Linked DNA regions of Caenorhabditis elegans. Each later gene encodes a partner of the first gene's protein in a complex. Each region holds a gene or a part of one and is shown on either strand. Other genes may lie near its edges. A codon is read from its position in the direction of its gene.

Region 1 (5,163 bases):
AAACAGGTGGAAAACTTCAATTTTTAGGCCTTTTTAGTCCTTTTTAAGCCGTTTCAAGCTAAACAAGACTGAAAACTCACGAGTATCTTTCTCCCAAAGGGTAACCTCCGCCTGAATTCTCTTCTTATTACAAATAGTTGTACCCTTGACAGTGATAGTCTGCTTCTTTGCCTCAACAAAAGCCAAAGCCAAAAGAACAACAGAGGTGAATAGTAAAGCACGCATTGTTGTTTTTTGAATCGTGCACTAACGTTTTTTGTTTTATATACCGACAAAATTCAAGGGAATCAAAATGGGCGGAGCCTATCTGATGGTGAAACAGCGATAAGGCGGGGGGATCGTTTACACTAAACAAAAACATTTTTGTTTCGAAAAATTCAAGGCCATCGAATTGACCGTCGTCTCGAGACAGAAGAGGCGAGAAAGATGAATCATTATATTAAAAAATGATATTTTCCTACTAAACTTTTTTGGATGACGTGATGGCGAAAATGAAAACCGGATTCTCTTGCGCACGCCTATTATCAAAATTGCAGTTTCGTTCCGAAAAAAGGGTTGAATAAAAGAACCGTTTTTTTTGTTGTTGTAGAGAGAAAACAATTTGAAAAAAATAAATACAAAGTCGCGTACGCGTACAGGAATTTGGGGGGAGTTGGAAGAGGCCACACGAAAAGAGACAGTTAAAGTGAAGATGAATTATTGAGATACAGGGGTACTTTGGAAATGTGGAAGAGAAGCGGGAGGCTAGGCCACGGCGAGAAAAGTTAGGGTTTCAGGGTTTTTGACGAAATGTACAGAACACGGAAAAGTTGATATTACGCGGAAGTAGGGTTTGGCCAAAAAAAAAGGCAATCGGAAAAAATTGCAGTAAAATCGTAAATCGACACAGAGAGCCGTAATTTGTGGCCTAGCTTTCCCACTTCTTCCAGTTCAAAGGATGAGAGAATCAGTGAGCAAAAATGAGATTCAAATGTAAGGAGTTGTACATAAATTAATTATTTACACAAATTGAATACGTTACTTCAAGCTGAACATCATCCGCCCACACACGACGACTCCAACGATTCCAATGGCTCCAGCTGTTACTCCAGCGCCAATCATCGACCACCGTCTGTTCTGCTTCCGGCGTCCCACTTTTTCAGCTTCTGCTCGTTCGTAGTCCTCTTTCATTTGTTTTCCGAGTGTCATGAAGTCGTCCTGCAATTTTTTTCTTGATTTTTTATTTTCACAAATAATGCTTTAGAGCATATTCCGGGGAACACAAAAATCCGTGAATGCGTATTTCACAACATATTTGAGGCGGAAATATCTCGTAGCGAAAACTACAGTAATTCTTTAAATGCCTACTGTAGTCGATTTACGGGCTCGATTTTTGAAATTAATTTCTTTTGATTAGTGGTTATTTTCTTTAATTGTAAAAATTTTAAAAATTTAAAGAATTACTGTAGTTTTCTCTACTGGATATTTTGCGCGTCAAATATGTTGTGAAATACGCATTCTGCGAATTTTGTATTCCCGTAACAATAACATTATCATAAACAGTAATATACTTGAATATGTTTCCAGCTGTCCCCCCAAGAGGCTACCGAACCCTGTAATTATCGGCTTACCAACACCCCGGGAAGTCAAGGGTACTAGGGAAAGGGGGATATTGACTTCTAATGTCTATGCAAATACTCCTTACCCAGCTCCGATTGTGTTCCTTCCAGTTGTTGCGGATCCGCGTTTTGATGAACAGCGATGTGTAAACGAAGAGGTTTCGCACTTGTCCCTGCAGTTCCACGGATTCCATCATTTTTGCAGCTACGAAACCGCCGAACGAGATTAGACCTATCTGAAAATTAGAAATTTGCAATTTAATTCGTTCATTTCTGGCGGAAAATTAAGCTTAAAAAAACGATTTTTCTGGTTTTTAATGTTCGAAAATTGAATTTTTGGGGTTTTTCGTTCAGCAAATCAGCAGAAAAACCTGTTTTTCGAAGAAAAAAGTTCAAAAATCGAATTTTAATGTATTTTCCACAAATTTTACATTTAAAAACCGATTTTTGATAAATCAGCAGATCTTTTTCGCAAATACAAATCAAGGAAAATATGCTTTAAAAATATTCGAATAGAAAATAACGTTTTTAATCGAATTCGTAAAGTTTTCTGCTAATTTATCAACAAAAAAAATTACAATCCGGGATCAAAATTCGTGGTTTTTTAATGGAAAACTTTCAAAAAAGACACATAATTGGGCTATTTTTGACCAAGTTTTGCTGATTTCCTGAAGGAAAACAAACAATTTTTGCAAATGTTTTTTCTGCCACCTTTCTGGCGAATTTTCGAATTTTTGCAAACTTTTTTTCAGTATTTTCTCCCTTACCAAACGTCCATAAGACATTGGACATTGATCTGTCTGTGCATTTCCAACCGTCCGAACCACATCCTGATACAGTGAAAATGAGATTCTGGGCACTGCGAGCAGCTGCTCACAGAAGGTCTCAAAATTTTCCGCGTGCTTCTTCTCGAATATCGTTCCCATAACTCGCATCATTTCGTGCTCCGGTTGCACTCCACACGGCAATCCCGGTGCTCCAAACCATTCCATTCCGTTTTGCCGGATTCGGTGCGTGAAATAGTCGACCTGGAAGCAGCAGGAAATTTTATTTACAAAAAAAAATTAAAAAATTACCACAAATCCCTCGATATCAAGCCTTGGCTCTTCCCAATCATTGATTTTTCCATCAATTGACTCTCCGATGGACATTCTTCGCGTCGAAGCCTGCCTACTCGGTGATGGCAAGTCCTGAGCATCACTATTGATTCCAAAATCGGTGGGCTCTGTGCCTTTTATCCCCAGAAACTCCTTCATCTCGCCAGTCGCCATCGTTCGTCGCCGATACGCCGGATTCGTCAGCGAGTTGTCCGCCGTGCAGCGTGTCATCTAAAATTTTTATTCGTTTTCATAATCATAATATACATTCTAGACAGAGAAAAAAAAACGAAGAGGAGAGGTAAATCTACGGAAAAGAGAGAAAATCGAAGAAATCAACGGTAAAAGTAAATTGACGAGAATTGTCGAGGGCTGGGGCGGAGTAAGAAAAAAGAAGGCGGAGCATCTGTGCCTAGGCAGTCTTGTTGCTCTTGTTCTGGCAAGAGTTGAAGACAATGGCGAGAGCAAGAATAGCCGAAAGTCCAGATACGAGATATCCCGATTTGTAGATCTGAAAATTAATTTTTATTTTAAAACAATTAAATTAATAATTTCAACTCCTACCTGTCCAACATTATTGACTCCCTTAGCCAAATCGAATCCTAAGAAGCGAATTCCGTTAAGAGTATGGAAAATGATGGGGAAAGCAATGATGTACTTGAAGACAGCGGTCACCGCGCATGGTAAGTTCCAGCTACGGATGAAATCCACAAAAGCGGTGAAATCGAACGGCAAAACTGCGAATCCGATTCCTCCGACGAGAAGGGTTCCGGCCATTACACAACCGCTGATTCTATGGAATCCGGAGAGCATCCAGGTCAATTGTGGCTGGTAGACGGTGAGATGTGGAGCGATTGGGCGATTCTTGGAGCGCTGCTTCAACAGGTATTCCCATCCGAACTTCTGGATTGGCGTCTTTGCCTCGGACTGTGAATATTATAAATAATTAATTGAAAAGAATGTGTCTGTTATACATTTCTCCTTCATGCGTACACAAAAAATCAACAATTTTCACGGAAAAATTCAAAAAATCCCCACCTTGGTGACGATCGATGTTCCAAAGGAGCGGGAAATCGACGATCTGGCGCCCAAGCGGCACAGAATCGCAGTTGGAATGTTAATCATCCTGAAACAATGCTGATTTTCTTATCAAAATTGAAAAAAGAAACAGGGCGGTGCGTTTCAAAACAAGTGTTGAATTTTGTTGCGGAAATGCACGCACAGGGCACGAGAAGTGCGCCAGCAGCGCGTCTCGTTTGAAGAGATGCGTCAGCAAACGACCCGGGCGCACTTTTCGACTTGTTTTTTGTTCTTTTTTTGTTTTTTTTGTTGCATTTTCTGTGATTTTCTTTGAATAATTATTTTTTCCATTGCAAATTTCAAGATGAAATCTAAAATTCCTCGAATTTCTGATCCATCGACTCCATGGCTAGAGATTTTAGTAAAATTCGGCTTCAAAAATGAGCCTTTTATCCTTGGCGAGTGGAGCACTTCTGGCTGGACAGCCGTTAAAGATTGGGTGCTTCCAAATGGACAGCCAAATAAGGAATATTTGAAAAAGTCCTATGGTTTGTCTGGATAGTTTTTTGTTATGAAAATCCCGTTTCGCTCCAGGAGATTCGAAAGTTCCTATTCTTTGCGGAGGAAATCAGTACAAAACCACTACTTTGAAGGAATTTCTGGAAGAAATGGGCGATCCAGAAGTTTACTTAAAGGATTGGCATTTTCAAAACGAGTAGGAGTTGAATTTCAATTCGAAATTGATTTTTTTAAATTAAAATATTTAGATTCGGAACCTCTTCATACTCCTTGCATCCTTTCTTTTCTCGAGATTTTGTAAATTGTGAGCCATGGACTAGTGAGAAATCGGAAAATCCATTTGGTGACGACTATCGATTCGTTTATATCGGAGCTTCTGGATCCTGGTAGCCTTGGAATTTTCTTAAAAATTAGAAATCCCCTCAAACTTTCTAGGACAAAACTTCATTCCGACGTAGTTTCATCGCATAGCTGGTCAGCGAATATTTGCGGCAGAAAACAGTGGTTTATGATGCCCCCAGGCAGTGAAAATCTGTTTCGGAGCAGCGTTACAGAGTCGGGGTTTGTGGATGACATTCGGGAGTATGAACGGCTATTCGAGCAGGCAAAAGTGATAAAATTCGTTCAAGAGCCCGGAGAAATTGTGTTTGTCCCATCTAATTGGTACCATCAGGCCCACAATTTGGTATATCAACTATTTATCTCTCAGTTTAGAAGGACATCATTTAATTCCAGGAAGACACAATTTCCATCAATCATAACTGGATGAACAGCACGAATCTTCATCTAGTACAGGAGTTTTTGAGCCGGAGGGAGCTAGATGTTCGTGAGGAGCTCCAGGATTGTGTAGATCTGTTTTCCGCCGAGGAATTTGAAGAAAAAGTGGATCTTGTGTTGTTCGCCGACGCTAGACTTAATAATTCAAAGTT
Region 2 (3,739 bases), on another chromosome or scaffold:
CAAGGCAAAAACGAGTGGCGGCTCTTTTGACAAACCTCTGGGGAGACAAGTCAAGACAAGGCGACAACGAGCATAAATGATTCATGCGGGAAAAACGATACCGTAGTTATGCTTGGTGCCAGATTGGGTACGCACAATTGGCCAGGTCATCGGTCTCGATTGTCATTCGTTTTGCCAGAAATTTTTCAACTGACATAATATTTGCTATGTCTTTTCCTACAATATTGTAACAGATTTTTTTTTGATATCTCTAGTATGAATCGATATTTGAGTTGTCAAAGTAATACGGTAGCCTAAGGAATGGAAGTCGACATGTTTTGAAGTTTCCAAGTATTTGACGGTTTAGGTTCTTGTTTCCAAATGCTACACATTTCTAACAATGCCATCCACGTTCGGTTCACAAATATCTGCTTGCCTTGTGCCTTCGCCTGCCTTGTGCCTACTCCTGCCTTTATACTTATATTCGAAGCCCTCATTCCCAATTTTTCAATTTTTATTCACATCTGGTGTTGCAGGCGGAAAACGAAATTGAAAACAAAAGTATACAATCGTAGGCATACTTTCATTTTTCCGTTTCTTCTTTTTTTTCAATTTATAACCCTGAAATATATAAACAAACTATTCACACATTTCTTAAAAAAAACCATATTTATTATTAGATAAATATGAGCAATAAAGGACTATGGTACAAATATTGAGGGGAGTTGGAGACGGAGAGATCGAAAAATAATCACAAATGAAGAAAAAACACCGGGTATTATGAGAAATCATGGTACAAATTGGAGAAAAGTTGGAGATTTTGATCACTTAAAAAGCGAAAAAGTCCAGAAGACGATGGAAGAGGCTTCTGTCGGAAGCATGGGCCGAGTAGGACATCATCTGAGCATCGAAGTCATCGCACATTGCTGCTAGCTTGGAGCCGATCTCGTAGCCGATGCTGCTGATCTCAGAGTCATCTGAAAATTGGAATGAATTAGAATAGGATTCAACTTTTTTTTTTGTTTTTTATTTCTCAAAAATGAAAACAAATATTACATTTAATTTTGGTCTTATTTGAAAAGTTTCAATTGCAAAAAATACTTGGAATATGATCAGCTTTCATAATTTTGACAACTTTTTGAAATACTTTCAAAATCATTTTTACTATAGTCTAATCAAAACAAAAAAAACTCACCAAAAAATCCCGAGTCGTCGGCAAATTGAGAAGAATCTTCACACGAGGAGAAGTCCTGAGACGAGGAGTAGAACATGTTCTTTTCGTTGTAGAAAACGGAAGATTGAACGTCAAAAACGTTGGACATTGGTAGAAGATCCGAAGAGGTTGAGGCAAAGGTGAGCATCTGGAAATTAGTAAGGTTTTGAAGGGGGTTTATATAGGGGAAAGATAGTAGGGAGATGTCTAACAATTACTAGGATACAAGTTCTAAAACAAGAAACAAAAAACAAAAAAACAAAAATCTGTTTTTGTTTCTACACCACGAACACATCCAGAGAGAGAGAGGTTGAGGGTGAGGCGAGCAGACAAAAACAAAAATTTGTTTCTCAGGAGGGGGAGGGGGAGACGAACAATATTGGACAGGTATGTAGATCAAAAATAAATAATTTCTAGACTTACCAGCATATCAACTGAATTGAAAAGAGAAGTTAGAATACGACTAATCGGTGTGAATGTTTTGGGTGTGAATGAATGGTGTGCGTGCACAGCTTCTCATTGCACGCCCCGCCCAGGCAAGGCCACACCCCTCTACCACAGGAGTGTCAAATGTCAGGAGAGGGGTCTAGAGAAGGGGGTATAAGTTTGCAGGCTTGATGAGGATGATTAATTGATGAGGTGTGATGCAAGATTTGAGTTTTGAAAATAAGAAGTCGTGACGCAACAGCTGGTACTGGAGCAAGCACGGGGGAGGTTATTGCGAAACTGTATAAATTAGGTTAAGGCCGAGGAATGGACAGATGAAAAAAAAGGGTTTGATCAAGATAAAGAATTTGAACTGTCGGGTTTAAATAAAGAAACAAAACAATTTTCGAACGTTTTCGAAACGGGGATCAAATGATGTTCCAAAGTTCCTATATGGGAGCCAAAACTTTTATGAAGACAAACTCATAGCTCTTGAAGTGTAATATTAGACATGAAATAAATTTAGCAGCTAAGTCTGTCTGAGGAACTAACAAGATTACAAGCTTACAGAAAGATTACAGACCTGAACCTGAGAACTGAGCCGGAAAGCTTTAGCTTGAAGTTTTAAACCTAGGAACCTTCAGTTTAACATATTCTGCACATTTTAACGAATGTTTTGAAAACAAATATTGGACATTAAAAATATTTTGAATCTACAAAACTATCTCAAGGCCAGCTTCACATGGTGTCAGAATGTCCCATTCCGTTGTGATCTACAAAAAACGCGGGAACTTAGACGCAGACTTCTCAACTGATTTCGCATGGTTAAGAACGTGCTGACGTCACATTTTTTGATGAAAAAATTCCCGCATTTTTCGTAGAGCAAACCGTTATGGGACAACCTGACACCACGTGCAGCTTTCTTTGCAAGAGTGTGACGTCACACGCGGCCTTGAAAGTTCGCTGAAACGACTGTGACTTTCAGAGATTTACTGAAGAATATATAATTTTGAAATTAAAAACAGGTAAAACCCTGGAAGCCAAATAGTCGAAAAACCTCATGTGACGTCACAGACGGCCATGAAATGGCAGAAACTATGATCAGGCCTCTATTTTTTAAAAATTTGTTTGGCCATTTTTCGACGTGTGAGACTTCAGTTGAATAATTTGTGAAAAATTTCAAAGCTTCAACAAAAAGTTTATAACATAGGGGCACTTTTCCAGCCAATCACTATTTTCTGTTGCATTAAATTTCTTTCAAAATGTAAATACAGTTTTCCCACTTTTCTGAAAATTGAAATCTATTCAAAATCAATGTAACAAGTTATAGAATCTATAAAACCCCAATATAACTTCGCCGCACTTCCCACATAAATTGCACCCCAGTTACAGTATACCTTTAGCCCACTTAAGAATTACGTAATCCAATTTGACCCAATCACACCTCTTGAGATCATTCCACCTTATCCATATTTGCATATTTAAAGGATTCTGACGTAACACAGAGAGTATATTAGCCGGCACGTCGGTTAGCATCAAAGTGTTTACAGTTAGTCGAGAATCGACTGGATTAGTATCGTTTCACACGCCAATTAATCGGTTGAAGCGTGCCGACAAACAGATTATCCCCTTACAGTGTCGGAAGCCATGCAACAGGTCGGCACATCGCAAATAATTGATGAGGTAAATGGGTTTGCAGCTTCAGGATAAGCTTGTTTTCATATTGCACATGGCTTCTAATAGTGTGAATTGCATTCTGAGTGTGGAGTCATCATTTCTCAAGATGTGTGTTGTATTTGAGTACTTAAGATATGCAGGTGCGCAATCAGAAGACTAATTGGGTAAATATTGGGAATAGGAAGAGGATCTGCTCAGATTTACCTCAATAAGTTAGTATGTTTATCTAGTTAAAGTTAATACGCTTTTTTAGATTTCATTCTTTCGCTGTGTATTTCTCTAAATTGTCAAAATGTTTCACAGTATTTCCTCTTTTAGTTTTGCACCCTGCTGAGCAACTTTGACGGGTCATATCTCCGATGTCTTCCACTTTATCAAAAACTTGTCAATTGAAAAAAATGTGTGATTCTTTTTTTATGTGAATGTAAAATTAAATGTGAATGT

The links.
Region 2: the proteins of ced-9 (region 1) and egl-1 are in contact, whole or in part, in a crystal structure (PDB 1TY4), measured with the Caenorhabditis elegans proteins. Residues at the interface, in NP_499284.1 of Caenorhabditis elegans: Met119 (codon at 2,524), Ile122 (codon at 2,515), Phe123 (codon at 2,512), Lys126 (codon at 2,503), His127 (codon at 2,500), Phe131 (codon at 2,488), Phe134 (codon at 2,479), Gln137 (codon at 2,470), Leu138 (codon at 2,467), Val141 (codon at 2,458), Asp151 (codon at 2,428), Val152 (codon at 2,425), Arg154 (codon at 2,419), Thr155 (codon at 2,416), Val156 (codon at 2,413), Ala159 (codon at 2,404), Thr161 (codon at 2,398), Gln163 (codon at 2,392), Ser167 (codon at 2,380), Tyr168 (codon at 2,377), Gly169 (codon at 2,374), Arg170 (codon at 2,371), Ile172 (codon at 1,834), Gly173 (codon at 1,831), Leu174 (codon at 1,828), Phe177 (codon at 1,819), Arg219 (codon at 1,693), Leu227 (codon at 1,182), Gln230 (codon at 1,173), Met231 (codon at 1,170); in NP_506575.2 of Caenorhabditis elegans: Ser63 (codon at 942), Ile65 (codon at 936), Gly66 (codon at 933), Tyr67 (codon at 930), Glu68 (codon at 927), Ile69 (codon at 924), Gly70 (codon at 921), Ser71 (codon at 918), Lys72 (codon at 915), Leu73 (codon at 912), Ala74 (codon at 909), Met76 (codon at 903), Cys77 (codon at 900), Asp78 (codon at 897), Phe80 (codon at 891), Asp81 (codon at 888), Gln83 (codon at 882), Met84 (codon at 879), Met85 (codon at 876), Tyr87 (codon at 870), Ser88 (codon at 867).

Annotation. Positions count from the first base shown.
Region 1 is NC_003281.10:10,332,935-10,338,097, reverse strand, and holds ced-9 (Apoptosis regulator ced-9), read right to left. Parts: upstream 2,927-5,163; coding exon 2,675-2,926; intron 2,627-2,674; coding exon 2,366-2,626; intron 1,835-2,365; coding exon 1,685-1,834; intron 1,198-1,684; coding exon 1,018-1,197; 3' UTR 576-1,017; downstream 1-575. Other genes in the region: ttr-15 (Transthyretin-like protein 15), read right to left, coding at 81-225; mev-1 (Succinate dehydrogenase cytochrome b560 subunit, mitochondrial), read right to left, coding at 3,108-3,206, 3,260-3,622, 3,734-3,820; jmjd-4 (Jumonji domain-containing protein 4), read left to right, coding at 4,080-4,263, 4,310-4,430, 4,483-4,620, 4,670-4,919, 4,970-5,163. UniProt on the Caenorhabditis elegans protein: Plays a major role in programmed cell death (PCD, apoptosis). egl-1 binds to and directly inhibits the activity of ced-9, releasing the cell death activator ced-4 from a ced-9/ced-4 containing protein complex and allowing ced-4 to activate the cell-killing caspase ced-3.
Region 2 is NC_003283.11:14,430,675-14,434,413, forward strand, and holds egl-1 (Programmed cell death activator egl-1), read right to left. Parts: upstream 1,686-3,739; 5' UTR 1,622-1,685; coding exon 1,616-1,621; intron 1,341-1,615; coding exon 1,175-1,340; intron 957-1,174; coding exon 808-956; 3' UTR 634-807; downstream 1-633. UniProt on the Caenorhabditis elegans protein: Plays a major role in programmed cell death (PCD or apoptosis) by negatively regulating ced-9.